Linked DNA regions of Daphnia pulex. The protein of the gene in region 1 purifies or fractionates together with the protein of each later gene. This does not show direct contact. Links are inferred from orthologs where the notes say so. Each region holds a gene or a part of one and is shown in the gene's direction. Other genes may lie near its edges.

Region 1 (7,946 bases):
AGCTCACGCAGAGTTCGGCACTACTAGATGATTGTACCCGCGGCGGGTATATATATATTTCTTAATCGCGTTCGGGAGATAACTGTTCACTCTTTATCACATCAATTAATCAGCAGTGACGTATGTCCTATCCTATATACACAGCTTACAATCGCACACGTTTTCTATCGTCACGTTTTGAGTTGTCTTTTGTTATTTGGCAATCGCATTAAATATCAATTGACGCACCTTTTTTAGCGGTTAGTTCTTTGATCAAATTCATTTTTTTAATCGACTTTTTGGGCAGCGGGAAATTATTTAAAGAATGGTGGAATTTGTTTTTCGCTTAAAATTTGAATTAAAGAAAAAAAAATTTAAACTTTGAACGAATATGCTTGACTACAAGCTGTACATGCTCGAAAAATTTCTTTTGATATAAAGAGATTAGAGTCTCGCCGTTCGTCGGCGGCGGCTGGGGCATCGAGATGTGATCTCTCTCTCTCCCCTTTTTATCGAAATGGACGGTTGGCATGGCAACACACGATAGCAGCAGCCAGCCTAATCTGTGCTCTATACCAAATCGTGATATCTTTTACTTTTGCATTTGGGAAATGAAAAAGACGATGGAAAAAAAAAACGAATAATAATAATAATAATAAAAAAAAGTCAGCCGAATCAGAATAGATTACTTAAGAGAAGCGAATGTTACGCAACACGCTTGCGCAGCAGTCAGCGTTGGTATACTTTATCTCATGTTTTGGAATTGTCTTCAAGGGCAAACTGGTTAGTGATGAATTTGCGATTTTGTGCGTCTGAAATTTTTGTGGATTCGCAACGCCAAATGTGTTGCGCGGCGCCTTTTTGAATGGGGGGAACTTTGAATCAATGGAGATGAGCGCCATCTCTCGGGAAACAACTATTTCAAAATTAGATTTCGGGCAGCTGGGCAGGAAAGGAAAAAAGTGACGTAGAGTCGCGCCAAAGTTCTCTCGGCGCTCTTGATTAATATTCTACAATGTTAGATAACGACAAAAGGGAAAATGATCCTGTGTGATTTCAAAATCGGACGTAGCAAATTGGTGACGGGCGCCACAAGGTCTGAATCTCTCGCAATAGTCCATCGTTGTCCCAGTCGAAAAAGCCAATCAGCGTTTACTAAAAACTAAAATATACGCGACTCGAATCGTGAATTTCCCATCGACGTGCAAGAGAAATGAAATCAAAACAAGATATTCTGAAAGGCAAAAAGAAGTAAAAATGAGTTTTCCCGACTGGCATTAGTATACAGAAGAATGACGACAGAGAGCGGGATTCGTACCCAGTCACATGTCGTGGGTCCCAGTCCCACTACTATACACAATAGCCTTGCCTTTAGCCACGATACACTTGCCGTTTCACCAACTGTGTGCCTTTTTCTCCTTTTCTTCTTTTTCTTCTTCTTCTTTCCATCCGCATATTTTTGAGTCGGGAGAATCTAACGGAGCGCGTGAATGACTGGCGTAGTAACTAGCGCCATCGCCTTACATCTTCTACGGATCGTTGCGACATTAGGACTCGGCCGTGAGAATGGCGCCGCCAGATGACTCTGCCAACGAACTGCACGATCGCAGGCATACCGCGGTTCTAGGTGTACACACACGGTCTAGCTCGGCTGTACTCTCTCTATCAATAAACGTGTGTGGTAAGTGAGTGGGATGGAAAAGGGAGAGAGCAGACACACACACACGGTCGGGCCGGGCCGGCCTTGATAATGGGCGATTGCTGAGAGCTTATAGAAGAGGCTTTCTGAGGGTGAGAGAAGAAGGAGTGAGGTGGGAGGTGTGTATAGTAGTAGTATAGTAGGTTGTTCGGGTGGTGGTGGTGGTTGATAGAAAGGATAGGGAAGTTGTGATATGCGCAGTAATTCGACCTTGGCCGTTTGGCTGAAGGCCCGAGCGCTCCAGCAGCAGCACCACACCGCCGCCCTAAAAAAAGAAAAAAATATCAAAAAACACGTTTTTTTATTTTATTTTTTCTCTCTCTCCTTCCACCACTACCAGCAAAATAAGAACGCCGAACAGCATCGAACGAGTTTAAGCGACCGAAAACTAGCTGGGCCAGCAGAGAGCTGGGCTCTCTCTCTCTCCCGCTCTCCTAGAAACAACCGCGCCACTATTTCACATGTAGGAAAAAACAAATCAAAATGAATTTTTTTCCTATTTCTTCCCCATTTGAAAATCGCGCTGGAAATGCGCATTCCAATAGTCGACAGGAAAAATTGAAAAAATAAATAAAAATTTGGGGAATTTGAAATATGAATGGCAATGAAGCGGATCACATCTAGAAAGGTCTCGTGAGTTTCTATACAGTCAGTAAAAACGAAAAAGGTTGCCGGAACTGTTGGGACCCACATAGCGCCAAGGCTGTGTAGAGAGGCTTTATCACGCAGCATGTTGGTGTGTATAGTATGTGTATAAAGTGCCAGTGGAAAAAAAAAAATTGTACACGACGTTTTCCCGTGGTGGCGGCCGGGTATGAGAGAGCTGCCCCCTTTTCATTTTATTTTTTCGCTTCTCTCTCTCTAAGGCCGGCTCCGCCCCTCTCGCCCTCTAGTGTCTATGTGCCAGTGTGCCCGTGTGCTGTGCTGTGGAAAATCCCAAGTACGACTGAGCGGCTTCAGTGCGCGTCCAACTCTCGCCCAGTCCAGACGAACTATCGGACAACTGCCATCATTTTTCTCTAAACTCACATACCAAACTCTAGTAGTGCTCTCTCGCTCGCCTTTCTATTTGCCCCCCCCCCTCTCTCCCGTGTGTGTGTGTAGTAGTATATTTTCGGTTGAGACACACGCATCATCATTTTGGCTAGCGGGTCGTGTGTTTGACTATTTGTCGAGTGTGCGCACTTGCGTCGTCTGCCTCCACTGCCAAACTACAACAATCTGCTGCCCGATGTTGCTACGCTGCTGCCGGGGCAACAACACATGATCGTGCATCTTTCCACATCACCTTTTAGCTGCTTTGCCCAGTTCTTCTTTTTTTTTTTCTTTTATTTCTGGTCGGGGAGTAAAGAAATAGACGACGGTTCGCTTGGTCCGCACAGACACACAACCTTCGACCGAAATCAGCGAAAAAGGGGTTCAGATTGCGCTGCTGCTGCTGCCCTATGGCGCGCCGACGACCAGCAGTCCTGTTGCCATACGCTCCCAAAGACCTGACACGCTCGTGTGTGTGACTCGCATCAAAACTTTGGCGTTAATCTAAACGAATCAGATTCGAAAAAAAAAATAGAAAAGAGGCAAAAGCGCGAGCGCCGTGTGTGACGCTGTTTTTGATTTTCAACTTTTTGGATTGCATCACTCATCGCACCTGTCGACCCGACGAAAGAATATGACACTAACGCAATCCCCTTTGTCGTCATCATTAGGCAGTGTCGTCGTTTATTACAAGCCGAGTGTTTAAGTGATTTCCTTCAATAATTGTTTTTTTGTTATCGCGCGTTCGTTTGATTGGACTTGGTTTTGATTAAAGACAATCGGAAGAAATTGAAAAAAAATGGCTCACGCTCATTTGGATTTGGATTTGGACTCGAATTTTGAGCCGCAGCAGCGGGCCAGGTCCAACACGTGGCCGTTGCCGCGCCCGGAGAATTACGTCGAGATCAAGGAGGAGCCGTGCGATGTGGACTCGCTGTGCGGCGGCCACGGCGGTGGCGGTGGAATGGGCGGCCTGGTCGGTGGCGGCATGGGCCTGAACATGGGCAGCCCCATGGACTCGATCAAGTTGCTGGACGGCTCCTGCTCCGGTGGGTCGGCGGCCGGCAGTGCGGCCGCAGCGGCGGCAGCGGCAGCCAAGAAGAATTCGAGCCGACGCAACGCTTGGGGCAACATGTCTTACGCCGATTTAATCACGCAGGCCATCCAATCGTCGTCGGAGAAGCGGCTGACCCTGTCGCAAATCTACGACTGGATGGTCCAGAACGTGCCCTACTTCAAAGATAAGGGCGACAGCAACAGTTCGGCAGGATGGAAGGTAAGACTCTATTATCGTCTTTCTTTATCATTTATCCCGTGTAAAATGACGTCATCATAAGTCTAGATGATTGAATCATAATATTACCAGCCAGGGGTGTATGTGTGTGTGTAGTGGGGTAGACACAATCTCTCTCGACTATGATGGGAGGTGCGTGCGGGATTTTCGACTGCAAACACACACACACAGAGAAAAAGTGACGTCGGAAAACCCGCGTGATGATAAGGACGCCCTTCATCTGATGATAATAGGGCCCCAGCTGATTAATGAATGATTCAATGCGCGGATTCGAGTGTGCCGTGCGCTATTCACTCTTTTTCGGATCCGGTGCGGTTTTTCCCGGTCTTCGTTTATTTTTTTATTTTTAAATTTTGTTTTTCTGACTTTGGCGTTCGCACAGCAGCTGAACCGTCTCATTTGAGAGCGCCGCCGTCTCCCCCCCCCCTTTTTTTTCTTGTGTGACTTATCGACACTCGGGTCCGGACTTCATTTGGCCGAGGAGGGTCAATGATCTAAAACTTATCCTGTGTGCATACGACGGGAATGTAGTGCATCTACTTCTAAACTCGATAAACTGACTATACTCGGATCGATTTATATGTATTCCCTCCCGACGTGATGAATAATTATGTCCGTATTGAAGACTCGGGACGTTGGCTTGTGAAAAGTCCGCCACAGTATACACGCAGGAATAGGAAAAAATAAAAAAACAAACGAGAAAGCCGTCACGTGACGGACGAGTGTGAGTGAGTGTGTGTGTACGAGAGCGCGGCCTTGAGAAGAGGTTCGGCGGTGAAGAGGCCGTGACGTCACGGCTGTTTAGATCTTCTCTCCTCCATTTTTGTGTGCGTGCGTGTGTGTGTTGGAAAGAGATGGCGCCGGCAAGCCGAAACCGCGTTCATTCGTTCTATATAACGTCACGATATTATATCCTACAGCATATGATGTATAGAATCAAACCCCCGACTTGTATATGTATATAAGGGCTCCGGCATTTTTCGGCGTTATTGCTGCCGCTGCTGGACAAGTTGCTCTACTTATTTTCTCTACAGTTCGTTTCACGCTCCCATTCGGTTTTTTCAATTTGAAATTTAAAAACGTCGATCGAATTTTTTTTGTTCGGGGGGTTTTTAATAAGTGACAATGCGACCAAGTTACAAATTTGATAATTGTGTGATGTTGATTACAACTTTACAAGAATTGTTTTTCCCCGGTCCATCACTTCCGGCTGGTGGTTACTGGATCGCGCGGATCTGTGTAGACGGACATGGCGGAACGGATGAATTGGTGAGAAAAAGAAAACCAGAAACGCGTCGTCTCGTTGCATATCTTGTGTCGCCTTTTATAAATGCGATCAACTATATAGAACTTATTGACCAGCCGTTGAGTGTTGTGTGTGTGTATAGAGTTTTAAAGCGCATTAGAGATGTGCTTGACCAGTTAGAGGAGCCGGATAGTTTCTCAAACTCCTATCAAGGTTCCACTATATTATTGGACACCCGGCCATCATCGTCGACGATTCAAATTCAGTCGAGATTCCAATTACCGTTCTCCCGTTCTTTGTTCTGATTACCATCGAGACGAATTCTTTCGAGTCAATGGAACCTTTTTTGTGTCTGATTCGAGTAACCAAAGAGATTGAGTTCGTACTAGTTTATAGATATTACTTTCGATCCTTGGCGATATATTTTTTCAAATGTTAACTATAGTACGGACAATTGGTACGTCGAAATATTTTTTCATTTTGATTTTTATCACATTTTGCTCCTTTTGCAACCTCAAATCTTCCATAGGGATCGACCAACCCTTTTTTTTCCCTAGCCACCCTCCAAAAAAGAGTAAAAATCCCCCATGTGTATACTTTTTAATTCTTTTCATCATAATAATATTCGCCAGTGTGGAAAGACGAAGGTGCATGTCGAAGAATACCTTCATCCCCTTTTACTTTTCATGAAAAGAAGAAGAAGAAGAAAACGTAGTACATTATAAGCCTCTGCTGCATGTCTACAGGGGGGAGGGAGGAGAACGAGGTCAGCCAAAGGGTCATAGTACATGCAGGCCTGGCGAATATTTATAAAGGAATCGGCGAAGATGCTGAAGAAAGCAAAAGGGGTTAGATGGGGGAGAGAGGGTTACATTAGCACAACTCTCTCTCTTTCGTCCCTGAAGAAAAAAAGGGGTATAGTACACGTCGTACAGCACATAGAGCAGGAGGCCATTACACAGCGGACCCAGAGGGAGGTTAGAGAGAGGGGGGGAACCTATATATCCAGGGTCAGATCGGGTTACAAAAGCCCCCTCCTCCCTTCCTAAGAATGGCGAAACGCCTGGAAATTGGCGATGCCCAGCCATCATATGCCAGTTTCCTTTCCCACTCACATCGCCGTAGTATTGCTCCTGCTCCTACTGCTGTGTATCACAGGGTATAACAATATAAAAGAAGTTGAAAGAAAATGAGGTACAGTCGCGAATAGGGTCATTCGAAAGGGGCGACCACCCCCTCTCCCTTTTCATATCTATCTGATGGTGGTGGTAGTACGGATGTATGTGTGTGTGCGCTGGGCCTATATGGAATGCTTTAACTCGGATCTTTTTTTATTTTCTGATCCTCCTGGACATGTCCAGCAAGCCCAGGCTTTTTTTTGGCTAGACATCGCAGACGAAAGAAGAAAAAGAAAGCTGCTGTGCTGGAACCAGCGCACAAGCTAATTAGCTGATGGCTCGCATTGACAATGACAGTCCTCTCTAATCGAATCATCTTTTATTTGGGTTTTGTTCTATAGGGGTGGAGGGAGAGCTCAAGACATTTCTCTCTATTCTTTTTTAAAAAAGAAAATCTATCAAGCAAATACTTTGATGATTTGCATCTCGAAAGATGTTCATCATCGCGGAATGTGTGGACATTGAAACTCCCGTTAGACACATTTTGAGTTTCTTGGCTGTGTGCTGTGCATAGAAATTAAGTCTTAAAGTTTAAACCAAAAAGAAATGGAATGAAGGAAATATCAACTTGTGATGGCTGGTTACGAGCAGGCGGGGCTCCTCGTGTGCCGAAATTCTTTTGGGTATTCGCCGAAAAAAGTTTGTGCCAACCTTCGTTAGAGTTGCTGGTGGAATAAGAATATGTGAGTGTGTGCTGGTAGGGGTGAAGAGTGGTGGATGGGGGGAGAAACAGCGAGTGAATGCGAGTGCAATGGAAGAAAGAAAAAAAATTTGCGAAGGGGTAAAAAAAAAGTTGTAGTACCGCCGCCATACTCGTGGTTGTACGTACAGGCCTGTGATGCGTTACTCGCGAGTTATACCAAGGTCGTTCGATGGGGTTAAATTCGGACATAAGGGGGAAAGAGAGAGAGAGGGGGGGAGAGCCACCAAGAACATTTGTGTGAAAGAAACACGCCAAATGCCAAATTTTTTTCCCCCCTTTTCCACGCATATGCCCTTGTGAAAAACGGACGAAAAGGTGAACAAACCCACAAAAAAAAAAAAAAGAAAAATATAATCATCATAAAAATACTTAACTGGTTGTTATGTATAGAGCTTCTATATTATAACACCGATAACTTGAGATAAAAAATTTGATTTCGAAACAGTTGCAAAAGATGCAAACGATGTCGATATATATCGTGTCGAAATTGATAGACGGCAGGAAAATTAAAAACTAAAAGAGAGAGAGAAACTCTGACAGTATGGCAAAGGCGAGATTTGGGAAGATAATTCAGACTCGTCTGATAAGAGATCCGTCGCCCTAAATTGGTTGCTACATGTACAAGATCTCGTTGGTTATATTTCCTTATATATAGGCAGCAACCCCAGCAGTTGGTTGGTTGGGGGGGTTAGACGGGCGAGGCTTTACAACAGACGAGAAAGAGAGGGGAAAAACAGAAGAGAGAGGCCATTTTTTCGCGATTTCGCCCGCATCAGACTTTGTACATTCAGACGAACCCTTTTTTTTTTCTT
Region 2 (8,065 bases), on another chromosome or scaffold:
AAGAAGGAGACTGGAGTCGTAATATTCAGCGTAAGTTATACTTTACATTAAATGACGAATCCGAGTACTAATCAATTATTAATCGATTTAGGATCCAGGATGTGTGTGTCTGTGGAATTACAGGATTGGGTTGTATTTACGCCGTCAGCAATGATGCAAGAAATCACACCCTTCGTTAATATGATGAAGCAAGTTGGAGCTCAACAGGGTTTTAACATCCCGCAACCTGAATAGTATGCGACCATTTTTCTAATATATTTAATATTCAATTCATTCTTAAATTACGATTTTCAATAATAGTATTAATATGCAAATGGACCGTACGTCAAACTACGTCGAGGCTATTCGAGCGGAATGTGGTCGAAAGCAATTCAGCCTTATTTTTTGCGTGTTGCGTGCTGCACGAGCAGATACGTATGCTTCAATCAAGAAGATGACGATCTCAGAATTCGGCATTCCATCTCAGGTATCCGTTTGAAAGGGAATCGTAGTTGGCATCTTCATGATTGTTTAACTAGATTTGATCTTCTTGCACAGGTGATAACGGGAAGAAATATCAAGGGACAGCCCGGTAAGCTCATGTCAATCGCCACCAAAGTTATGATTCAAGTTGCTTCGAAGTTGGGTGCGGAACCTTGGAGAGTTGCAGTCCCCCAGACGGTAACTTTTCTCGATCGAGACGTTTGCTTCTTGAATTCTTAATTTATCTTTTGGCTATTATTGAATGTAGAAATGGATGGTTATCGGCTATGATACGTACCACGATGCACGTCAAAGAAAAGCTGTCGGTGCATTTGTTGCATCCATCAACCCGACCTTCTCGCGTTACTATTCTTCTGTGAAAATTCATGAAAACAATGAAGAAATTTCACCCAGCTTCAAAGATCATCTCTTTGGCGCACTCAAGTATGTTTTATTATGCTTTCTTTGTTCCGTGCAAAATAATATCTCTTTTTCATTCGCACAATTAGATCTTATTACATCATGAACGAAAAAACATTGCCGGAAAAAATCATTGTCTACCGTGACGGTGTCGGTGCTGGAGACATTGCGCGACTGAAGGATACGGAAGTGGCGGCACTGAGGGTAATAATGATGAGTGACGGTCTGTGGGAAGATTTTGAGGCTCGTTTTTCTATACAATTATCATTTTTTGGCTTGAGTAGGAGGCTTGTTCCGATGCTGGTGCTCGAACAAATTACCTCGGGACTGGTGTGTATAATCCACCCATTGCGTTCATTGTCGTAAGCAAGCGGATCAACACGCGATTTTTCGCCATGGGACAACGTGGAGCGAGCAACCCTCCTTGCGGCACGGTTGTCGACAATAAAGTGACGCTCAATGAGAGATTCGACTTCTTCCTGGTGTCTCAAAAAGTTACGCAAGGTACCGTTTCTCCCACCAGCTACAATGTTATTGAAGATGACACTGGAATCGCCCCTGATATTCACCAGCGACTGGCTTATGCTCTTACCCATCTTTACTACAATTGGCCTGTAAGTTTTTTTATTTTTATTGTCTATTTTATTCAGAATTGAATTTAACCAATTTGTTCATTTAAGGGTACCCTGCGTATTCCAGCGCCCATCCAGTATGCGCACAAGTTGGCGTACCTTGTTGGTGAATCAATGATGACGCAACCGCATGAAGGACTGAATCGACTTCCTTATTACCTTTGAATTACCTTTCATTTATTTTCTCCCTAAGTTTTGTCATTTTTAACGTATTAATTTGTTCACTCATAAGAAAAAAACTAAAAGACGACGAGACATGCCTCACTCGCACGATTTTCGAATGACGCCAAAAATATTTTTCTTGAGTTTGTTTGCAATGGCGGATATCGACAATGGAAGTGTTTTTCATGCAATTTTTTTTTCTGTTTCACCTTCATGGGCCATGTCAGAAGTGTGATAATGAACGCCCCTTTGTGCCATGTTGTATGTAATCAAGGAATGAGTAATAAACCTTTGTTTTTAAATGAAGTAGATTTATTGACTTTCGTGTGGTGAGTTTTTATATGATGAAATAAACATGAGTTGCAATGGAATTCGCGTTGAGATGGCATTGACGGAAAAGCTCTACGTGTGCAATGCACATAGCACATTAGGTGTTTCGAAAGCACTGAGGAAAACAAAAGAATGTGGCATCGCTGCTTGGCAGGCGTGGTCAAGCTGACAGCTGTATCGAGAAGAATGCAGGCCTGCAAGGCCAACAAGGGTACGTCTGGGCAGGATCGTCTGGGCTTCCTCGATAGTCAACTTTCAGGTCCGCAAAAGCCAAAAGAACTCGCAAGTCATTGAATTGCTAATTGTCCACTAGAGACACCATGCGGCTGTCTCTTTTGTAACCAAGGGATCTCAATCGTCCCACAGCGAACTAAATCGTTTATAAAAATTATTTCAATACTATAAAATGACTTGATTTCATAACTTGAAGCTTTTTAAAAACACGATAAAATAATATTTACGTAACAAAATAGATGGTTGCTAGACATCCAATAATGAATTCACAAAAAGTATGCATAGAATCAAATGATTAGAATGAACATGTCATTACTCGGATAATAGAAAATTTGAATAAAAGTTTTATTTCATAAGAATTAATTAAATACCTAAAAGATTAGACAGCCCCCAAAGGTGTTTGGCCTTGTATAGATGTCAGCACTGTACGCTGCTAGATGCATAGGTAATAAGAAACGAGATCTGGCAATCTGGCCTCTTCCCATCCCATCGACTCTCGCTGGCATTTTCCGCTTTAGCTACAGGGCAAAGCATTCTAGCAAGCGTACGGTGGAGTCTCAGTTGCTAGCTACACTCTTTGGTCTTAGTCGAGACAATTCGAGGCAGGTTCCGATTCCAACGGTCTCGCTTTTGTTTCTTTATCCAGTGACATCTGCTTATAGTTTATTCCAGCAGCCATGGCAGACAGAGAGGATAACGTTTACAAGGCAAAACTCGCCGAACAAGCCGAAAGATACGATGGTACGTAAATGTCATTTAAATGTAAAATCGAAAAAAAGAATGAAGTTTCATTTCCTCTGTGTCTCTATGACTGTGCATCTCTGTGGGTAAAACCGAACGAGACGGTAGGCGGCTTTGAAAAAAGGCTTGGGCGTTTGACAGACTTATGACGTTTTGACTTTTTGTCTTTTTTCTTGTACATTCGGTTGTGTAATGGGGAAATTCAGCGGCGTCCCCCCTCTTAGTGTTGGCTTGAATACTTTCGATCAATATGACACTCGTACTTGAGGTTCATTTTTCCTGACAATTCCATTTTATCAAGTATAGTATAATCTCAGCCATGTTTTCTAGAATCTCTTTTGAGGGTTTTTGTCGCAGTACGAAATAAAAAAAAAGTAATTCTGGGTGTGTGTCCGGTGTGTGTGTGTATCTCTGGGTGGTTTTCCTCGAAACCTACCGCTACGTAACGAGATGACTTGGATCAATGAGTCATGAGAGAGAGAGAGAGAGAGCAGAGACTTTGGACTGTCTCTTTGTATACTTGCTTTCCAATAACTTTTTTATTCTCTTTTTCGTGAAAAATACGTAGTCGTTTCTATTCAACTTGGGCCTCTCACCATTGCGCATCACCAAGGCGACGGATCTCTTCAAAACGACGCTCGGTAGAGTACCCCACCCTTATGTGCGTGATGCGTTGGGGGTCCTGGCTACGTTGATGAAAACGTGCCGTCTAAAAAAGCTTCTCTCTCTCTCTCTCTCTCGAGGACATCAAAAAGGAAACCGTTCACACAACAATGGCCGCCTGTGATGGTTAATTTTCTCTTCTATATTTTTCTCTCGACTCTTCTGTCTGCGGCTTACAAAAACCAAGAATCGGTCAAGCTCTGACAGTGGGCGGAGAAACCCGATGGAAAATTAGCCACCATTTTTATTTTTCGTCTTTTTCCTTTAGGAAAATATTCCAACTGGTATGAATGGGGCGTTTTTCTATTTCCACATATTTTCGAAAAAATAGTTGTCGCACGTGACGCGTCTCGTGCCTTTTGTCGTTGTAGAAAAAAAAAATTAGTTTTTATATTTTTAACTTTATTCCCCCCCCCCCCCTTCACGTTTCAATGATGGAGGGAAGTTGGAAAGAAGAGAAAATGCGGTGTGGGTGTGTCGCCCTAGAACCTGTCATTACGCCACTGCGATGTGAATCCAAGTGGAGAGCCTGTCCGTGCATACAACTCGATCGTCTGGTTATTATTATTTCCCTGAATTCAAACATGTACGCCCAGCTGGAGAAACTTTTATTTTTCAATTCCTCCCTTAGAAAAAAAGAGGACACACATAGTTTTGTGTGTGTGTGCGTAACGTCAACTCGGTTTGCCCCTGTACTTTTCCTTCCTTCCGCCGTGGGGATGCTGATGTTGGGGGTTATATGACGACTGCGACGTGCTGGATGTGTGGAGAGCGGGCGGAACTAGGCGGTAGCGTGTTTCCTCCCGTGGCCGTTATTGATCCGCTACTTGAAAAGTCGCTCGAGTGTGGGGGGTGGGGTAGACAGGGAGATGGGGGGGAAAGAAGGCAAAGCCTTTATGTCTGAAAGTGTATCTATCTTTTTCTGTCCAAAAGAGAAAGGGATCCTCTGACAAGTTTCTTTGGCTAAGACTATATGATAATCTGTTTGTTGATGCAGAAATGGTCGAGTCCATGAAAAAGGTGGCGTCGATGGACGTCGAGTTGACTGTCGAGGAGCGGAATCTGCTGAGCGTGGCTTACAAAAATGTGATCGGCGCTCGTCGTGCATCTTGGCGCATCATCTCGTCCATTGAACAGAAAGAGGAGAACAAGGGAGCCGAAGATAAACTTGAACTCATCCGCAATTACCGCAATCAGGTATGGATAATGTATTCAAATTTTATTCATTGATTTGTGCCTTTATCTGTTTTGTCTATAGGTCGAGAAAGAGCTGAAGGACATTTGCTCTGATATTTTGAGCGTCCTCGAGAAGCATCTCATCCCATCAGCCACCACTGGAGAATCTAAAGTCTTTTACTACAAAATGTAAATCGATTTTTGCTTGGCCTTTTTTTTTTCAATCTTGCGAGTAGTAGTTGGACATTCCTATTAAATGCACCGGTGGATTTCTCTCAAAGTCCTTGAGACTCGAGCGTCTGTGATTTCGAATTCTACTCGTGTTTCGCTTTGAGAGAAAAGAAAAAGTGTCGTTACTATCTCTACCAAACGTGTACACAATTTTATCGTACGTAAACGTTGCGCCAAGCGCAACTTTGTGTGCGCGCAGACATGTTGTGGATGGATGGCCTGGTATTGATTATTGACGATTTTACACAACTCCCTTCCTCTGCTTTTGTCGTTGTGTTATACAGGAAGGGTGATTACCATCGGTATTTGGCCGAATTTGCGACAGGAAATGACCGAAAGGAAGCTGCAGAGAACTCGTTGATGGCTTACAAAGCCGCCTCCGACATTGCCATGACGGAATTACCCCCCACCCATCCCATCAGGTAACTTAACTAACAATTTGTTGCCGATCCTCAACTTAACTTTATCATTTGTAGATTGGGATTGGCCTTGAACTTTTCCGTCTTTTATTACGAAATCCTCAACTCTCCGGACCGAGCGTGCCGGTTAGCCAAGGCAGCTTTCGATGACGCCATCGCTGAGCTCGACACCCTTTCGGAGGAGTCGTACAAGGACTCGACGCTCATCATGCAGCTCTTGAGGGACAACTTGACCCTCTGGACTTCCGACATGCAGGGCGATGGAGAAGCTGGTTAGTAGAGCAACAGCTAATTGATTTTTGTCCAATCACGCCAACAGGACTTGTGTGTGTTAATAATTAAAATTTCCTTTTTTAAAAAAATTGATCAAGGAGATGGTGAACCAAAAGCGGAAGTCGCAGACGTTGAGGACCAAGACGTCTCCTAATCGGCGATGTAATTTGTATTGATGTGTTTTTTTTTCTTAAGTCCTACATGATTTGTTCAATTTTTTCATTATATTATTAATTTTTTTTTTTCAACAAAAAAAAAAGTAATCCGGAAATCCACCACCTATGTTTCCTTTACTCTTATCTGTCTCCCATTCGCTCCCCCTCCCTCTAATTGTTCATCCCGCGCTCTTCATCGAACACTGGAAACTGCATTACAACAATTACCGAAACGGTTTGCATGGACACGTGTATAACTCCTCAAAAACAAAACAAACAAAAAATAATTAATAAGCAAAGGCTGTGTGTGGTTTTTGTTGTCATTCCCGTTGTCCCTGCCCTCTGTCTCTCTTTAATTTCCAATAATCATTTCCGTTATCTCTTGGATCTTCCTCGTCGTTTTATTCGTCGAAGATCCAGCGTGCCCGCACACACACACACACAGACGATACACAACACACTCACAGTTTCAATTTCTCTTCGGAATTTTTCTCTCTCTCTCTCTGCGATGTAGTCTGGCGTCACACAAGACTTCACGTGTAACCTTTTAAAACAAAAGCTGCTGTTGTCTTTTCAACTTTTCTGTAAAACTGCCGCGATTTCTTCATTTCCTCAAATTTGTATCAAATGGGATTGAATTTTCTACCAGGGGCTACTAGAGAGAGGAAAGCTGAAGAATTCGAGTAGAGGTAACTGTGGAAAAGTATTTGATTCAGTCTTTCCGCAACTAAATAATTGGCAATGGATTTTTTGAAAAGTAAAAAAAAACACGAATGGAAGAATAATTTCTTGGCTTCGTATCGCATTTTCCCCCCTTTACTATTTACTATTAGGCCTACTATTAAGTTTTTAACTTTTTCCATGTCGCTCGAGCCATTCCCTATTTATTTCTCTGTGGTGTCCAAACATTTGCTCACCATCATAGTTGGGAAAAAACCAAGAAGAAAAAAAAAATATTTGAATTTTGGAAAAGAATTTTTTTTTTGGTCCGACGTGATGTAACCAGTCTCCTTTTTTGCAAAGAAAAATAATCTCCTTTTCCTTTTTCTATCATCTGTCTGGTTGTAAAACAAAATAATCAAGAGGATGACCGCTGCAGAAAGAAAGCTAGGTCAAATACACGCGCGCATTCTTTTGTCCTCGGTTTCCACAAACAATAATTTTTTTCTTATTTAAACACATTTTTATTTTGGTTATGTTAGACGCATCATCATGATATTCTGTGCAGTGTCATATTCTTTCGGTAACATTGGATACTACAGAGTGGCACTGCCGTCTTGGAACATGAGTAGCGCTTGACATTAGTGCATCCTTGCACTCCACAGTTGACTCGAGCAGGTGGTTCTCTAAAATAATAGACAAATTAACTTAAGTTTTATCCATTTGAAAAACATTACATACTTGACACTCTGTGGGGCCAATGGAAAAGCAGCTCCAATAGGTACACTAAATGTTATCTCCCCGTCTTGTGTTTGTTTCCACGTGTAGGAAGAGACGTGACTGGGGACGGAAACAGAGGCTGATGAAGTTGAAGCCGAAATACTCGCAGCACAGGATTTGTTCAGTTTACTTTCCTTCTTCAAGAGAAGGCGATCGATGGTTCGTTTCTGAGTAAACGGGGAAAAAACCAATTCAAATTACAGCGATGAAAAAAGAACAATATCTCGTGCGTGATTAATACCTTTTCCTTTTCTCTTTTTTGAGCAGCCACTTCCCGTCGTCGTTCGGATTTAATGGCTTTCTTTTTCAGTAACTCTTCCGTCATCACGGTTTCCTTGTAACCTGAAACAATCCATTGTCAACTTGCATGGCTGAATCTTAAATATTTTAGAGGGGTGTACCTGTTGGCAGAGCTACTAGTTCCTCTTTGATGATTTCTTCGTTCTGCAATTCTCCTTTCCGCTCTAAGAGCGCGCGTTGGCGAACAGTCATCAACTTGGGGTTCTTGATCTTCTTGAGTTCATCGTCAACCTGTGGAAAGCCATTGAAGATTATGAGGGGCATTTAAATATGAATCATTGCTATACCTCTTCTAATTTCCCTGATTCTAAAGCCTTGAGCCATGCCTCTTCTCCACTTGATCCTTCTCCATCATCTCTTGTTCTCTTTGAACGATCTCTCACTCTCTTTCTGGATGAATCTTCCACTGGTTTGGGTTTTTCTGGTG
Region 3 (7,717 bases), on another chromosome or scaffold:
AATACCAAAAAAAAAAAAAATAATAATCAATAAATTAAAAAAAAAATAAAAGTTTCTTTCAATGATACATGACTGCACTTATTCAAGACTCGTGTATTTTGTTCATTGATTCCATAATAATAATATATAATATGATTTCTGTTCCACTGCACATTTTGTTTCATGGAATGTCGTCATTGAATCAAATAGAGATCTAACGTGATTGCCGTTAGATAAAGTCACAAATGTCAACGTTCCAATGTGTTTCACTAAATTATTGTTTCAAGAATATTTTTTTGTTTTGTTTTAGATGGGCTACAACTCAATCTACACGCGAAAGGTAATTCAATTTGATTTAATCCGAATTGACTCGTCCTGTGTTTGATGCAGCGGAAATGGTGGCGGCCACCGGAGTGACGCCCCATTTGAGCGACGGGAATTGTTTGGCGGCCGCTTTCTTGAAGTTATCGTTGCAGAATCCGTAGATGATGGGATTGATGGCTGTGTTTACACACATGACATAGCGCGTCGTGTACAACAAGGAGCGCAACCAATCTGGGATCTGTTTTATTGAAATGTTCAATCAATTGCCATTTTTTCCGTGAATAATCAAAAGTCAATGCTCACGCTATTGATGCTGTTGCCCAGGACGATTTTATTTCGTACGATGATGGAAATGGTGAAAGGCAGGTAGCAGATGAAGAAGCCAATCAGAATGAAGAAAAGCATCCGAATGATTTTCTGACGCTGGGCCAACTGCTTCAATTGAATGGCAGAGCAGGTCGAAGTCCGCGATTTCATCTGTAAACGTATTTGAAACCTGCTGCCGTTTTAACCAATCAAGAGGATGTAAAAGAAGCTGATTACATACAATAATGAAGATGAAAATGAATAGAACAGTCATGACGATGAGGGGAAACCAGACGAGAATAGCGTCGAGGGAGATGTAGTACACGAAAGAGAAGGAAGTGTTGTCGATGCACCAGGACTCCAATATATCCTTCCATTGTCGTTCCTGTGTGTTGAGTCAAATTGGCGGCGGCAGATGATATAACACCCTAAATAATTCTGATCAATTTAAAATGCTTCTTGGTCGTACTTTATAGACGCGGGCTGCGATGAGTGGAGAGGCGATGGCCGCTGAAAGGATCCAGATGACTCCGCAAATAATGTAGGCTGCCGATTGGCCCATCCGCGGGCGGAATGGAAATGCGATGGCAAAGAAACGATCAAAGCTTACGGCCAGCAAGCTGAAGACGTCCACCAACATCAGCATCACTTTTGATTTGAAATATATGAATTACTTGCCAGTTTTTTTTTTAAAATGAAGCTTTGAATTACCTCTTAAAAATCCCTCGGTTCGACAAATAACCTTCCCAAAAATGTAATGGAAATTATAATTATTTGATAATAAAACTGACTGGTTTTGAAACCTCTCCGAGAATGAACATCTGGTAGAGATCGATGATTAAAATTATCCACGGGATGAGTAGGATAGTTAAAAGATCGGCGATGGCCAAATTCCAAATGAAGATGTTGATGGAAGTGCGCAAAAATCGATTGGTGGCCATGAGGTAAACCACCAAACCGTTTCCAAGCAGACTGATGATAATGACAGGAACGAAGAATCCGATTTTCAAGGCGCACTCCCAGGTGGGACGGACAATCCACAAAGGAAATGGGAAGTTGACGTTTGAAAAATCCATTCCTGTGAAAGTCTGAAATTCGCACGAACGACTTGAGTTCGGTTATTACGTGTGGGAAAACAATGAATTCACTTACATTGAAAAAAGTAGTAATTCCTTGCTTGTCGGAAGGTAAATCCAGCAACTGAGCTCTGCTGTTGTTTATCAAGCCTGATCGTTCTCGACTGGAGTCAAGTACTTACCGGATCCCGCAGCACTAATAATCCTCACACACACTCAGCGCAATTGTTGTGACGCACGCTTTCAAACAAGAGCGGCCATATCGGGCGGCCCCGTGTGCTATGCCTATCAGATTTAATTAAGTTCGTCAAATCGCTAGACCATGTTTTACAACTTTTGGGGGTATAACGCACCGCGGGCCGGCTCACCCCTATGCGATTTGGTTTTATGGTCCACGAATATTATAAGTCAGTCAAACCTCGGGGTCGCTTCTCTAGTACAAATGCCATACGTGAATTATTTTCCCGATATCGCGTAACCTCATTCGTGATGTTTAGTACATCTTGAACTAATTTTTTTCTCAGTTTAATTTGGTGATACTGCATTTCTGATAAACCTCCTATTAAAAAAAAAATTATAATCAGCAGCTTTCCTCCTTATGCGAAAATCACAATGCCTTATCTGAACCGCAACGTGCGGAAAGTGGACTAAGGTTGATATAAAAGCTCGACAAGGAAAGGCCTTGAATTAATTCCCTTCCTATTTCATGTATACATGTCCTTGCGCATATTTTCTTCCGGTTTCGGGACGAATTCGATTCATACTGGCAACGCTGACCTGCCACCTGGCGGCCCGAAATTTGTGAAGAAGAAGAAGCGCCCTCTACCCCACGATCGACGGAAGACGAAGCAATGGCCGACGAACAAGGCGAGAACTTTCACAGTCCCGTAAAACGAAGCAGAACTTTGCTGCCGATTGACATCTCACAGTCCTTTATTGAGGGCCAACAGCTTTGTAAGTACCCGTTTGATCGATTTCATTCATTTAATGTACTTGTGAACCTAATCAAAATTGTTAGCAAAAGATTGCATTCGGTTTTGAGGTAAATGGCCTTTTGCTTCGTTAGTGCGGCCATTGGCGGATGGGGGGGGGGGAGGGGAGACGCCCTTCTTTTTGGTCGATTGCTGCGTTGCCAAAATTTTGGGGCGGCATGTTTGAATGTCATAACAGTGTGATGACACTTGTCAAATACTGTTTTGGTTTCTTGAGTTGAAATTTCTTGATGGCTGTAGAGTTGATCCATTGTGAGCTTACTTGAAATATTTTTTTTTTTTTTTTAAATTTCAGCAAATGATGCAGGACAACTAGGAAGCTGTGAAATGTTCAACGCTGGGGATTCAGGCTTCAGCGAGTTAACGTCTTTAGCCAGCAGCGAGGATGAAAATCTCACTAATGATTTACCATCTACCAGGTAATGTGGACTAATGTCTTCTTTTTATTGTGTACAAACATATGGTCTAACTTTATTATTTATTTATTTGTAGCTATGCTTTGCCAGCCATTCAAGATGCTGATGATTCAATGGGCAATTTGGAGAAAGATGATGATACCTCCTCAGATAGTGATGTTTCAGACATAAGTGGGTTGAGTGACTTGAGCAATCATGACTGGGAGCCATCATCAGGGACGATGTCTTGGGTGCAACAACAGATGCTTCTTGGTACCAATCCTCGAACCATCCTGAATGAGTTGGTACCAAATGATGCTCAAATCCCCACCCATCTTGACGATGTCACCCTTTGGAAGGTAAAATTATAAATTTGTAGCATTGTCAAGGCAACTAATCATAATTATTGAATAAAACAGATAATCGTGAATATTGTCAGTGAACCTCCAAGGCGGGAACGTTTACGCCACATAAATGCAATATCCGATGCCGTCAGATTACTCCGTAGCTGTAAAAAGATTCTAGTTCTTACAGGAGCAGGGGTAATTTTTTTTTTTTTTTTTATAAAATAATTTACCTCATTATATTTGAACAAATTTTGTTTAGGTTTCTGTTTCCTGTGGTATTCCCGACTTTCGTAGCCGTGATGGAATTTACGCTCGCTTAGCCGTCGACTTCCCTGACTTGCCCGATCCTCAAGCTATGTTTGATATCCATTACTTCCGAAAAGATCCCCGACCGTTCTTTAAATTCGCCCGAGACCTTTGGCCAGGACAGTTTACACCTTCTAAATGCCACAAGTAAACAAATTCTCTTGACAATTTTGAAATTTCGCTAATGAAACGATATTTTGTTTAGGTTCATTCGTTTGCTAGAGAAACAAAACAAGCTTTTGCGCAACTACACGCAAAACATAGATACACTAGAACAACAAGCAGATATCGAAAGGGTTATCCAATGTCATGGCTCGTTTGCTACTGCCACTTGCCTGCGCTGCCAACATCGCGTCCCCTCGAACGAGATAGAAAAAGACATAATGGAACAACGCATTCCACTTTGTCCGAAATGCTCGGATGTGTCGAAAAATGAAGACGAGGCCAGTACATCGTCGTCGGTGGCATTATCGGCCCAGCCGATCATGAAGCCTGACATTGTTTTCTTTGGAGAAGGAATGCCAGACGAATTTCACCGCGCTATGGTACTCGATAAAGAAGAATGTGACCTGATAATCGTGATTGGGTCATCGCTCAAAGTCCGCCCTGTCGCACTCATCCCATGTAAGTTATTTTAAATGTCATCTTGTAACCTTAAAGTTCATATGCAATAAGTTTCTCTTGATTCAAATAGGCGCCCTACCGAATCATGTTCCGCAAATTCTTATCAATCGCGAACCTCTCCGCCACATGGTCTTTGATGTTGAACTGCTTGGGGACTGCGATATTATCGTCAACCAACTGTGTCATTTGTTAGTATACAGTAATTTTCATCAGCCAAATTTGTTGTCTCATCAATCTTCTTGTAACAATCAGACTGGGTACACAATGGAAAGATGACATTTGTTACCGCGAACCTCTAACAGAGATCAGTCGCCTACCACCACGCCCCACTCCTTCTGTCGCCGTACCTGCACCCATTTTCCCCAAAAGAGATCAAGACGATCCTTTACGCCGGGACAGTGGGATGTCTACAGGAAGCTTAGAAATGGAATCAGCCGAGTCTGGTGATGTTGAACCAGTTACTCATGACATGACCGGATGGTGGGAGCCGCGAATCAAAGTGAATCTTGCCGATCAACTCCCAGGTAATTTATTTTTGTTCGGTTGTTGTCTATGTCATCTATATGCATTTCCTTGCATAAAATTCAGAAAACACTTATCTCACCGTCCAACCTGGTCGATACCTGTTTCCTGGTGCTGAACTCTTCTATGACCCAGACGAAGAGGTAGAGTCCGATTCTGACTCATCCTCTGATTCCAGCGATTCGTCTGGAATTGATGGAGGAGATTCAACTCAACCTTTCCCGGAGCATGGAGTAAAAAGGAAAGCGATGGATTGACGACGTATTCCGAAGCAACGACAAAGCTTCTGTTTTTACCATTGTTATGTTAACAATATGGATTCTATTTAAAAGCTTCAAGCGTGTGTATATAGACGAAATCTCTCGATGGTATTTAGTATTTCTTTTTTTTCCTGTATTATGGATAAGGGGAAGTGGAATTTTCATTTTTCTGTGAAATCTTGGCAAGCTGTTCTGAAATGTTCAGTGCAATCTACCTCACCAATCTTCAAGAAATAATGGCCATTATCTATTGCACCTGCAGAAAGGTGGTCGGCTATGTCGGGTACCGGGAGAGGGTGAGCATGAACTATTGATTAAATTTCAAATATTTCCCTTAAATTACTTTGAAATGTTCTACTAAATGTATGTATGTCTTGTCTGTATTCGCGTTTACACTTGTTCTGTATCCATCAATTTATTTGAAGCACAAAACAAATCCCCCACATAAAAAAAAACTTCTCCTTGAACCAAGAAGGGAAAATAAACCATGACTTCTTTTTCACTCTAATTTGATGTTCTAGTGAAATGTCATAAAAATCAACCATGTTAACTGGGAAAAAAAAATTCAATGCTTCTTACAAGCAGAAAAATTGCATCACTTTATCTTGATTTAGAACTTGTTTGCTGACCAAGTTCAAAGAATATTGAAGTCTACAGATTATTTGGATTTGTACTTGAAACAAATTCAAATATCCATTTCGAATTGAGGTTCTTCCTGTTTCTTGTCTTCAACTGCAATAGAATTAAGTATTATTAGATATAAATTCATAAAACAAGAAGTTTTTAAAAACCTTTTTCAATTTCAACAGTTGGAAGCTCCACAGGTTTGTGCTGTACAGTAACATTTTTCTGCCCATTGATCAACTTGGACTTCTCTTTGTGAGGACTATCGCATGTGACACCAGGAATTACAGGCAAGTTTTTGGGTGGAGTCCTGGCGACAGGGGAATTGCGCATTTGCAGCAAGAAATTCCTATCATAGATAATCTTTGTACCTAAAGAAACGAAAGGTGTGATGAATAAGCTCAAGAATAAAAAACTAAAGAATAACTGTTATTTTAGAAACCACACAGCTGTGCCTGTCATAAGGGCACACCAGACATCATAACACCCATTCCTAAATACCTCCAGGAGTGGTTGAATACAGAGTTCCATTGGGTGTACTGGAGTAATCATGTGGTAATTGACTGGCATCATTGATGAGAATTCGTCTTGGGATGGCTTGACCTTGGGGTTGAGCGGCCTGGCGAGCAATTGGTGACGCTGACATTTTGGCAGTCTAAAAAGAAAAATAGTGATAACCAAAATAATGAACTACCGCGTGGCGATCAAACATATGGTGTGTTGCTATGCGAAAATAAACTACCAAAATCTCATTATAACTAAATATTTAATGTCATGCATAGGACAACAACTTACTTAACACCATGTGTCTCAACTTACGGCGTATAAATGAAGAAGGCGTATGGCAGGTGATCTGGAAAAATTAAAACTCAGTCTATTATTTACAACTGGGAAGTGCGTCGAAACTGGAGAGCAATACGTCGCAAGTCCAGCACGATATAACTCGATTTTTTACGCAAGGGAAATCGATTACTAGTTTTTACGAGCACTACATATTACATATTTTAAGCGATAAAATGATAACAAATATGTCTGTATGGACTTATTTATTTTTCTTTTGGATAAAATAAAAAGATTTATAGAAGTAATTATATGTACGCCAATACTATTTGGAAAATTACTGAAGTTTCACAACAAGCAGATCTGCAACAAGTTTCCAAGGCAAGCAGAAGAAACAAGAAGCAGACAGACGACAACGCTTGTTTACATTATACCAGATTATGTTGTCGTTGTCTTTGTATTTCAATAAAAACCACTATGGTCTATTAACTGACAGTTAATAGACCATGAAACCACGTTGAAATATGGAAGAAAACTTTGATTAGAGAATCAGAATTTCATTATACAGTTTTTAAATAGAAGACTGATGCATTTTCAAGAGGAAAACTTCACTCACAAAGTCAATAAGTCACAATACGCAGAAACAAACCGAGATAGGAATGTTTTACGCCATCTAGTTTCAATATCCCGAAATCTTTAAAAAAGAAATATGATTTCAACCACATGTCAAATTAGTCAGTTTCAGCTACTTTGCACATCCCTGTCAAAATGTATCGGCAGTTGTTTTGTGGTAACTTTTTGGTGGTGACTGACGATAACTATTCCACCAACAAAGCTCACTTGTTAGTTAATTTTTCGATATATTTCACGGAGATGACGAATGTTTGGACTTTGGTTTATTTTCCGTCCTACTCGTCTGTGAATGCTAAGGGATGTCACTAGGTGGCTAAATATTTCAGTGTGTTTAGGGATTTAACTATTTAGCCCTGGATTGGTAAGGGGTCATCAAATTTTTGAGACGATATTCCATTCCACATTTCTTTTTCTTCAAGACGCCGTCCGAGAAGGTTACCTTAGCCATTGAGTTATGGCGGGGTACTTTCTTTCCTCACATTTTTCAATGGTAATTCCTGTTTTTTTTTCAACAAGGTTACTAAATTAAAATTTTGTGTGTGCCGTGTG
Region 4 (7,355 bases), on another chromosome or scaffold:
GCGTTCGTGATAAAATTCGAACCTCATGTCACGCATGGATGTTAAATGGGTTAAAGCAACCGTAAGAAACCTCAATTTCACAGTTGCATAACCTTGAATGTGTACTCAAGTGTACGCTAGAGGGCATCAGAAAACCTTTTTTGTCAACAAATGAAGTAGTGACTTTCCTGTTTCTTCTACTCTGATGCTTCGAATTATTTTTATTGGATTACTGTGATAATAATGGATCGTTCTGGGGTTACTTCTGGTAAAAAATTTCATAATTTTTGCCCAAATTATACTGAACTCTTTATTTTTATTAGCCAACAGTTACCTCAGAGGGGTCTCTGTAAAGATTAGCGAAAAGTACCGACCTCCTCGTAGACCCACACTTCCGCCTGGATTATGCTTCGAACCTTCTCCTCATTTATTTTCTGATAATGTATGAATTGATCCAATTTAAAAAATGATCAAAGATCACCTTATGTGTTGTTCTTTAGATTGACCTCATTGATGAAGTAAGTGCATTGAAGCTGATAGCCTCAATGAGAGATCTACATACACAGGAGACTACAAGAAGAAAGCAAAGTGTATCTGCATTTTTAGAGAGTCAAGCTGCTGTCGATGAGAAGGAAATTGAAGAGATCACTTCAGACCTTTCCTTGAACAGTCTTACTAACAACATTCCCTCACTAAGTGTTCTCAACTTGCAAGCAAGGAATGGGCAATTGCTACAACATACTCAGGCTTCCATGGAAGTCCTTACTCCAATTCAAAGCTCGACTGTGGAAATCAAGAAGAAAGAAAACATGTCTGCTATCAATCTAGCTGAATTTGAGAGTTATTCAACAAATCCTTTTGAGGAAATGGAATTAAAGACCTTGAATGACAAAGAAGAATTAGCCATGTTGCTCCAACCCAGCCCTCAGCCATCTTATGGACTACAGTATCAGAACTATAACCCATCAACAATTCCATCTTGGACTGAAAATGTACATATTATTTTATATTATTTTTCTTATTTTAGTTTTTATTTTTCACTAAAGAAAATAAAATATAATTTTTATTTTAGAGACATCAACCTGTGCGTCAATATGAAGCTGCAGCAAATTGGATTCCCAATGAAAGTTCATTCTTTAGTGTTGACAAGCTATCTCATGGGAACATCGCTATACCTGTAGAATTCCAAAATCAAGCAATCTCACATAAAAACTTACGTCAAGCTAAAAGTGTCCCAGACCTCTCTGACGTAAGTTTTGGGACGGGAGAAACCCCTATAAATAAACCGCCATTTACAGGTGTGACGGACAAAAGACTCAGTTCTCGCACTCCCCCTCCTCGTTTAACATCAGATTCTATAAAAAGACCAGTGCCTAAACCAAACTTTGATGTTGCATCTCCGTATGAAAGGAAACTGAACGCAATCGAAAAACGTTTAGTCCAGCAGCTACAAGATATGGGATTTGTGAGAGAAAATGCAGTTCGTGCTATTGCTCGACTTGGTGCCAACGAAAAGGATGTTGTTGATCAGCTTTTACTAATACAGAAACTGGAAGAATCGGGCCATTCCATTGAGAGAATAGAAACGGCTTTAGACGTTCTTAAGCCCTGTAAGGAATTACCAACGCAATTAGAACATCATTTAGTGTTAGTTGATCAGTTGTCTGCTTTAGGATTTGAACACGGTAAGATTAGCTCTGCGCTTGTTGCTGCTGGACACGATCGCGATAAAGCCTTGGATATTCTTTTGTTAAAGTAAATTACATTAAAATCATACGATGTTTATTTAGTTTTTTTTTTTCGTGTTCTTATGTCCTCAAGTCAATCAATATTTTTTTGTTCTTCGATAAGTATAAAAATCCAAATGTCAACGATTCTGTACTTAGTCTTCACCTTTTTTCTGCTGGAATAAATTGACATATGACATTATTCAACCTAATCAAATTGTCAAAGTGTGGTTAATAAAACACCAACCAAACAAATACTTTTGCGCGAAACGACTCGGGGTTTGGTTAATGAATAAATATACACGTTGGCGACATCGATGTCATTGCATAAATTAAAAGTTATTGATTCCGTAGCTATAGACATCTGTGATCATTCTGTCGGTTCACTCAGTTGTATTTGTATTGAATCTTTTTTGAAATTCGCTTCCTCCCTGGTCCCTTAAACTGGTTCCTGGATCCTAAGCAGAAGTAATTAGAATATTTCTATTACTCATTAGTCATTACTCTGTTCAAAGTTTCCTAAGTAACTTAATGTTAAAGTTTTAATAATATTCTTAATGTTAAAGTTATAATAATCAGTTAAAATATTCTACAAACAGGCATCATCGCATTGACACAGGCAAATTTGAATTCCCGCCGTCTTTGCCATACTTATTTTTTTCTAAATTGAATATTTTTCTTTCCTTACTAAATAATTTCGTTACTTTAGTATTAAAAGTAACTTTGGTTAAAATCTGTGGTAAATTTTAAGATTTTTGCTTACATTATTTTTTAAATTTCCGAAATGAATTGTTGAACGGTCAACATCGGATTCCACAGACAGTGTCTTTTTAGCGCGCGACGTGACGAGTTTGGACGTTGCTGATTGTAGATTTTTCTTTTACACGTTTTCAATATAAACGCAGTAATTAGTTTGAAGTGCCTTTTGGTTAAACATTTCAGCTCAATAATTGTTTCCAGTACGCTTTTATGTACCAAAATTTTTATTAATTCTCTCCCTTTGTTGATTTCGTCGTTTGCCCCGTTGCTACAAAATATGGCTAAGTTAAATACCGGGTTTAAACGGTGGAGTCTTGATTGCCATGACGTATCGATAGAAGTCATGGAAGATCTAGGATTATCTGCAATGGACGATGATTCAAACTCCTGTAGCAATCCATCAGTAAAACAAGTAGTGATCTCCAATATTCCTGAACCTGCTGTAAAGCGAAAAGAATGTTCACCTTTTGCTGTCCCGTCAGCTGTAATGGATTTTTCTGAAGATGACCAATCTAGTGATAGCTTTTTATTGTCTAAACGAATGAGGATGGATGGTCCCCCAGGAATTGATGGATTCTCACGCCTCTCAGACGAAGTCATTCTCAGCATATTTAAATGGCTTCCAAAATCAACTATCGCCAAATGTGCTCAGGTGTCAAAGCGTTGGAAACGACTGTGTTATGATGAAGTTTTATGGAGGAGGTTGGACCTTAGTGGCACCTGCCTAAAACCTACGATTCTAGGTAGTGTTCTTTTAAGAGGAGCACACATCTTGAGGCTAGCTAAGACTGAGGTAATTAACTTTTGTTTGTTTCTTTGTTATCAACTACTAATATTTAATTTTTCTAAACAATGTACAGATTTGTGATCCAATATATCCAGTAAGTCCTCTACTTCAAGAATTTCCAAGGTATCGAAATTTGCAATTTTTGGATTTGAGCATGGCATCTATTTCAACACAAGGTAATCTCACCAAGTCATAATTTATAGGAATAAGGGTACAAATTTGGACATATTATGCAGGTTTATTTGATTTATTTGATACTTGTAAAAACCTGAAGAAACTTAGTATGGAACATTGTGTTGTTGATGAAAGAGCATGCAAGGCACTAAGTCAAAATGAGCAGCTTGAAGTGCTGAATATGTCCATGTGTTATGGTGTTGGAGTTAGTGAACTTAAATGGATTGTGAATGGATGTAAGAAACTTGACAGTTGGAATTTAGCTTGGACAGACTTGAATTCTGAAGCTCTTCAGTTGATTAGTACATCTGCACCAAAATCCTTAGAACGCATAAATATCAGTGGTTGTCGAACGACACTTAAAGACGAACGTAAGTTTGTAATGTTGACTGGAAATTTGTGATCATTAAAGTTGAATGCCGAATTTTATGTTAGATGTCCTGGCCTTGTGTCAACGTTGTCCAAAGCTGGTGGAATTAGACATAAGCGACTCCACAGCAGTGACATCAATTTGTGTCAGCTATATTCATGATAATTTAAAGCGACTGGAATATTTGGCGATGGCTCGATGTTACAACGTGCCTCTCTCCGTGTATTTGTAAGTAACATTGGCGTTAGAGAGCAAAATTTGAAAGATATTTTAATCATTTCTATTTCCTTTAGGGTGTTTCAAAAGAGTGGTCTTTTATACCTTGACATTTTTGGTTTATTGACGGAGACTATGCTTGGAACACTTCGCGCCAAACTTCCGAGTATAGAAATCAACAAGTTTTATTTCTCTAGTGTAGCAAGACCTACAGTCGGAATTCGACGTACCTCAATTTGGGGGATGAAAGTCAGAGAGTGAAAAATTCAAGTCATGTTTATTGCAAAAATTAGTAATACATATTGATGTATTCAAAACTGGTAAAACAATTTATTGGCATTCAGCGGACTTAAACTTTAATTTTTTCTAAAAATTCAAATACGCGTTCCTTGTATGACTCTTCCTTTAGTTTTCCTATGAGCACATGAAATGGCCTTGCGCCTCGTAAAAATTCCCCTAAGTTATGACTAGTGAAATTTATTCGATGGTCTGTGATACGATCTTGCGGGAAGTTGTAAGTCCGTATTTTTTCTGAGCGACCGCTAGATCCTACCTGCAGCTTACGACTTGACCGAGTAGTTGCCAACTGTTGGTCGATTTTCATTTGGAAAAGACGAGCTCTGATTTTATCCATTGCAACCTTACGATTCTGCATTTGCGATCTTTGTGTCTGACATTCCGCCTAATTAAAAATGTAAAACATTTAATTGTTGATGAGAAATACTTCAGTTAGTTCGGTAAACTTACCACTACACCTGAGGGTAAATGGACAATTCGCACTGCTGATTCAGTTGTATTTACATGTTGTCCACCTGCGCCGCTTGCTCTTTTTGTTTCGATTTTAAGATCCTTAAAAAAAAGAAGAAAAAAAATGTTAGTCATGCATTCAAGGAAACAGAATTAAGTATTAGTAAACTTACTTTCTGTTCAATGGTCACGGAAACTTCCGAAGGGCGGGGAAGGATGGCAACGGCTACCGTACTGGTATGAACACGTCCGGCCTTTTCAGTTTTGGGCACCCGCTGGACCCGGTGTACTCCACTTTCAAACTGCAGTCGATCATATGCGTCTGAGAAAAAAGTAGGTAGTTGTATCTAATATATTAAACTAAATTTTTGAAAAGACATACCTGAATTATTAATGCAAATTGCAGCATGCCTAATACCTTCTAAATCACTTTTTTCAATATCTGTTAATTCATAGTCCCATCCTTCACTTTCACAGTATGTGATGTACATTTGTAATATTTCATTGCAAAACAACATGGACTCTTGCCCACCAACTCCGGCAGAGAATTCCATGATTATTCCCTCAGTTTGATGATTATCTTCCTGCAAAATGAGTTCTAACACCTAAATCAATGAATGGGTTCTTATCAATCATTTAAACTTGATTACTCTGAATTTATACTTCATTTTGGATCTGGACTAGGATTTCCTTTAACTGTGAAAATTCTTCACTGACCATTTTTGCAAGGTCACCATTTTTATCATCTAAGATACACTATTTAATATAGATTTTTAAATAAATATAACTAGATACACCTACCATCTGCACTCAAAGCTTTAAGCTCTTGTAGATCATTTTCAGTCTGTAATAGTTTTTCCCCTAATCCAGCAAGTGATTGGATGCGTTGTTTGTTTACTACACCTATTCCAGACTTTGATTCAATGTTTTGAAATCCTGATTCATCAAACTTTTTCTTGATATTTAATAAGAAAATTCGAAGTCTCGGGTCAAATATATTTTCGAATGATACTTGATTGAGATTTAAACTCCTATGTGAAATGGTTTGATTCAAACAGCGAATGGATATTACATTATTAGCATAGCTTTTGGCGAAACACGGTCGTCGTAAGGCACTTAGAACTCGTACTATTTTACTGGAAATACCCCAAGTTACCATTTTTAATGACTAAACTTTGATGGTAATTTGAATATATTTTCAACGTCTTCAAAATCAAAATCACAGTGAATCGCAGTGAATCCTTTTTGACGGTAGCAGACGACACTGGAATCTTGTTGATTGGTGAGTCAACTGTTTAGAAAAACCTGAAGGTGAGTTTAAAGAGTTGTTGTTTTGAAATTTGATTCACGCAGTGTGAATTCGTGAAACATGCGTGTGCGCGGGATTGATTTACACAATTAAACCGATCATACGTTGGAGATAAAAAAAATATCCTCTGCCCGTTATAGGCTAGTATATGCATCGCACACAAATATCTCTATGGCACTCTGTTAGTAATCGACAAAATGACTACGTTATTCGAAGTTAACACAAAGCTTACAGAATGTTTACATGATTTTGGGTTAGAATGCCACCCATTCAAGGTAATTTTTATTTTGCTTCTTTGTGTAGTAATTATTTTATGCAATATTTTTTTAACTTCTAATTAGAGTTAAATGCATTTCTTTATTATAGGTTGGATGGTACAATGAACGAGTGAAATCTGGCTTTCAATTAGAACACCATGAAGACACACTTTGTTTTGTGGTGATAAGTAGTCCTTCATTTTTCGAAAAAGGCTTTATACCATTTGTTCGTAACAATACTGGAAGCAATAATCAGGATTACCTTGATCAAGCCATAAGCTCTTGTCTTAAAACAGCAATTCAGGTTTTATTTGATTAAATAACATTGTTTTTTATTTATTAGTTTATCACTCTATTATCTTTGTGTAGTCAATTCCAGGCTATGATATTAGTATTCTCCATGATTATGAGATGAGACCAGGAACAAGAAGACCAAAAGTTCTTGTTCAAACAGCAGGCTTGTTCAAATTATTGCTTATATACCATTATTCAATTATGCTTATTATTCAAATTCAATTCATTGCTTGTTCAAACAGGCCACGTCTCAGGTGCTGTTTATTTTTATCAGAAAACAGATGTGATCAATTCTCCCTGGCTAACTGACCAGGTAAACTAAGGGTGAATATTACCTTGATGTTATATTATTTGTAATGTTTTTGGCATCCATTTAGCCAATTTATGGTGTTTGCCTACATCCCAGCTATATGGGATGGTTTGCCTTAAGAGCAGTTATCATATTCCAGAAAGTCTTGGTCCCTGATTTAGTCTATAAACCACCGAAAGATATTCTTATGGTATTATTTTATTTTAATCCTTGTGTATCCTCAGAATGTACGATTTAACGAGTATCTATTACTTTTAAGGATGAAACCAAGAAAATTGAACTACTGAATCGCTACAATAATAGTTGGCAGGATTGGAGCTTTCGGGACATTATGGAACCAACCGAACGCTATTCGGAGTTACAGCAGAAGTATTTAAGTACACGACCTTCTGAACGAAGTCATTTGATAGAGTTAATTAAAAGAAA

The links.
Region 2: the proteins of forkhead box protein O-like (region 1) and 14-3-3 protein epsilon purify together in Homo sapiens (affinity purification with mass spectrometry; 4 studies listed by BioGRID and IntAct, with this or other methods). This does not show direct contact. The link is inferred for Daphnia pulex from reciprocal best matches to the Homo sapiens genes FOXO3 and YWHAE.
Region 3: the proteins of forkhead box protein O-like (region 1) and NAD-dependent protein deacetylase sirtuin-1-like purify together in Homo sapiens (affinity purification with western blotting; 4 studies listed by BioGRID and IntAct, with this or other methods). This does not show direct contact. The link is inferred for Daphnia pulex from reciprocal best matches to the Homo sapiens genes FOXO3 and SIRT1.
Region 4: the proteins of forkhead box protein O-like (region 1) and S-phase kinase-associated protein 2-like purify together in Homo sapiens (affinity purification with western blotting; 3 studies listed by BioGRID). This does not show direct contact. The link is inferred for Daphnia pulex from reciprocal best matches to the Homo sapiens genes FOXO3 and SKP2.

Annotation. Positions count from the first base shown.
Region 1 is NC_060019.1:11,772,851-11,780,796, reverse strand, and holds the start of forkhead box protein O-like, read left to right. Parts: upstream 1-2,575; 5' UTR 2,576-3,512; coding exon 3,513-3,989; intron 3,990-7,946. UniProt on the Homo sapiens protein: Transcriptional activator that recognizes and binds to the DNA sequence 5'-[AG]TAAA[TC]A-3' and regulates different processes, such as apoptosis and autophagy.
Region 2 is NC_060024.1:10,587,263-10,595,327, forward strand, and holds 14-3-3 protein epsilon, read left to right. Parts: upstream 1-2,750; 5' UTR 2,751-2,917; coding exon 2,918-2,981; intron 2,982-4,641; coding exon 4,642-4,841; intron 4,842-4,902; coding exon 4,903-5,009; intron 5,010-5,335; coding exon 5,336-5,473; intron 5,474-5,527; coding exon 5,528-5,742; intron 5,743-5,835; coding exon 5,836-5,897; 3' UTR 5,898-6,285; downstream 6,286-8,065. Other genes in the region: piwi-like protein Siwi, read left to right, coding at 1-30, 92-233, 301-466, 538-660, 731-906, 972-1,086, 1,167-1,496, 1,563-1,679; INO80 complex subunit B-like, read right to left, coding at 7,109-7,244, 7,300-7,505, 7,580-7,680, 7,740-7,869, 7,926-8,065. UniProt on the Homo sapiens protein: Adapter protein implicated in the regulation of a large spectrum of both general and specialized signaling pathways. Binds to a large number of partners, usually by recognition of a phosphoserine or phosphothreonine motif.
Region 3 is NC_060021.1:10,712,172-10,719,888, reverse strand, and holds NAD-dependent protein deacetylase sirtuin-1-like, read left to right. Parts: upstream 1-2,450; 5' UTR 2,451-2,536; coding exon 2,537-2,639; intron 2,640-2,972; coding exon 2,973-3,096; intron 3,097-3,169; coding exon 3,170-3,431; intron 3,432-3,491; coding exon 3,492-3,614; intron 3,615-3,678; coding exon 3,679-3,872; intron 3,873-3,930; coding exon 3,931-4,349; intron 4,350-4,419; coding exon 4,420-4,537; intron 4,538-4,601; coding exon 4,602-4,873; intron 4,874-4,937; coding exon 4,938-5,128; 3' UTR 5,129-5,639; downstream 5,640-7,717. Other genes in the region: neuropeptide FF receptor 2-like, read right to left, coding at 335-541, 607-780, 851-994, 1,079-1,257, 1,321-1,351, 1,413-1,685; eukaryotic translation initiation factor 4E-binding protein 1-like, read right to left, coding at 5,817-5,863, 5,923-6,126, 6,257-6,401. UniProt on the Homo sapiens protein: NAD-dependent protein deacetylase that links transcriptional regulation directly to intracellular energetics and participates in the coordination of several separated cellular functions such as cell cycle, response to DNA damage, metabolism, apoptosis and autophagy.
Region 4 is NC_060018.1:4,259,668-4,267,022, forward strand, and holds S-phase kinase-associated protein 2-like, read left to right. Parts: upstream 1-2,513; 5' UTR 2,514-2,742; coding exon 2,743-3,258; intron 3,259-3,325; coding exon 3,326-3,428; intron 3,429-3,488; coding exon 3,489-3,797; intron 3,798-3,861; coding exon 3,862-4,024; intron 4,025-4,089; coding exon 4,090-4,273; 3' UTR 4,274-4,329; downstream 4,330-7,355. Other genes in the region: peptide chain release factor 1-like, mitochondrial, read right to left, coding at 4,362-4,694, 4,760-4,861, 4,933-5,081, 5,142-5,364, 5,423-5,505, 5,561-5,918; cyanocobalamin reductase / alkylcobalamin dealkylase-like, read left to right, coding at 6,266-6,343, 6,435-6,629, 6,695-6,782, 6,862-6,932, 6,997-7,119, 7,189-7,355. UniProt on the Homo sapiens protein: Substrate recognition component of a SCF (SKP1-CUL1-F-box protein) E3 ubiquitin-protein ligase complex which mediates the ubiquitination and subsequent proteasomal degradation of target proteins involved in cell cycle progression, signal transduction and transcription.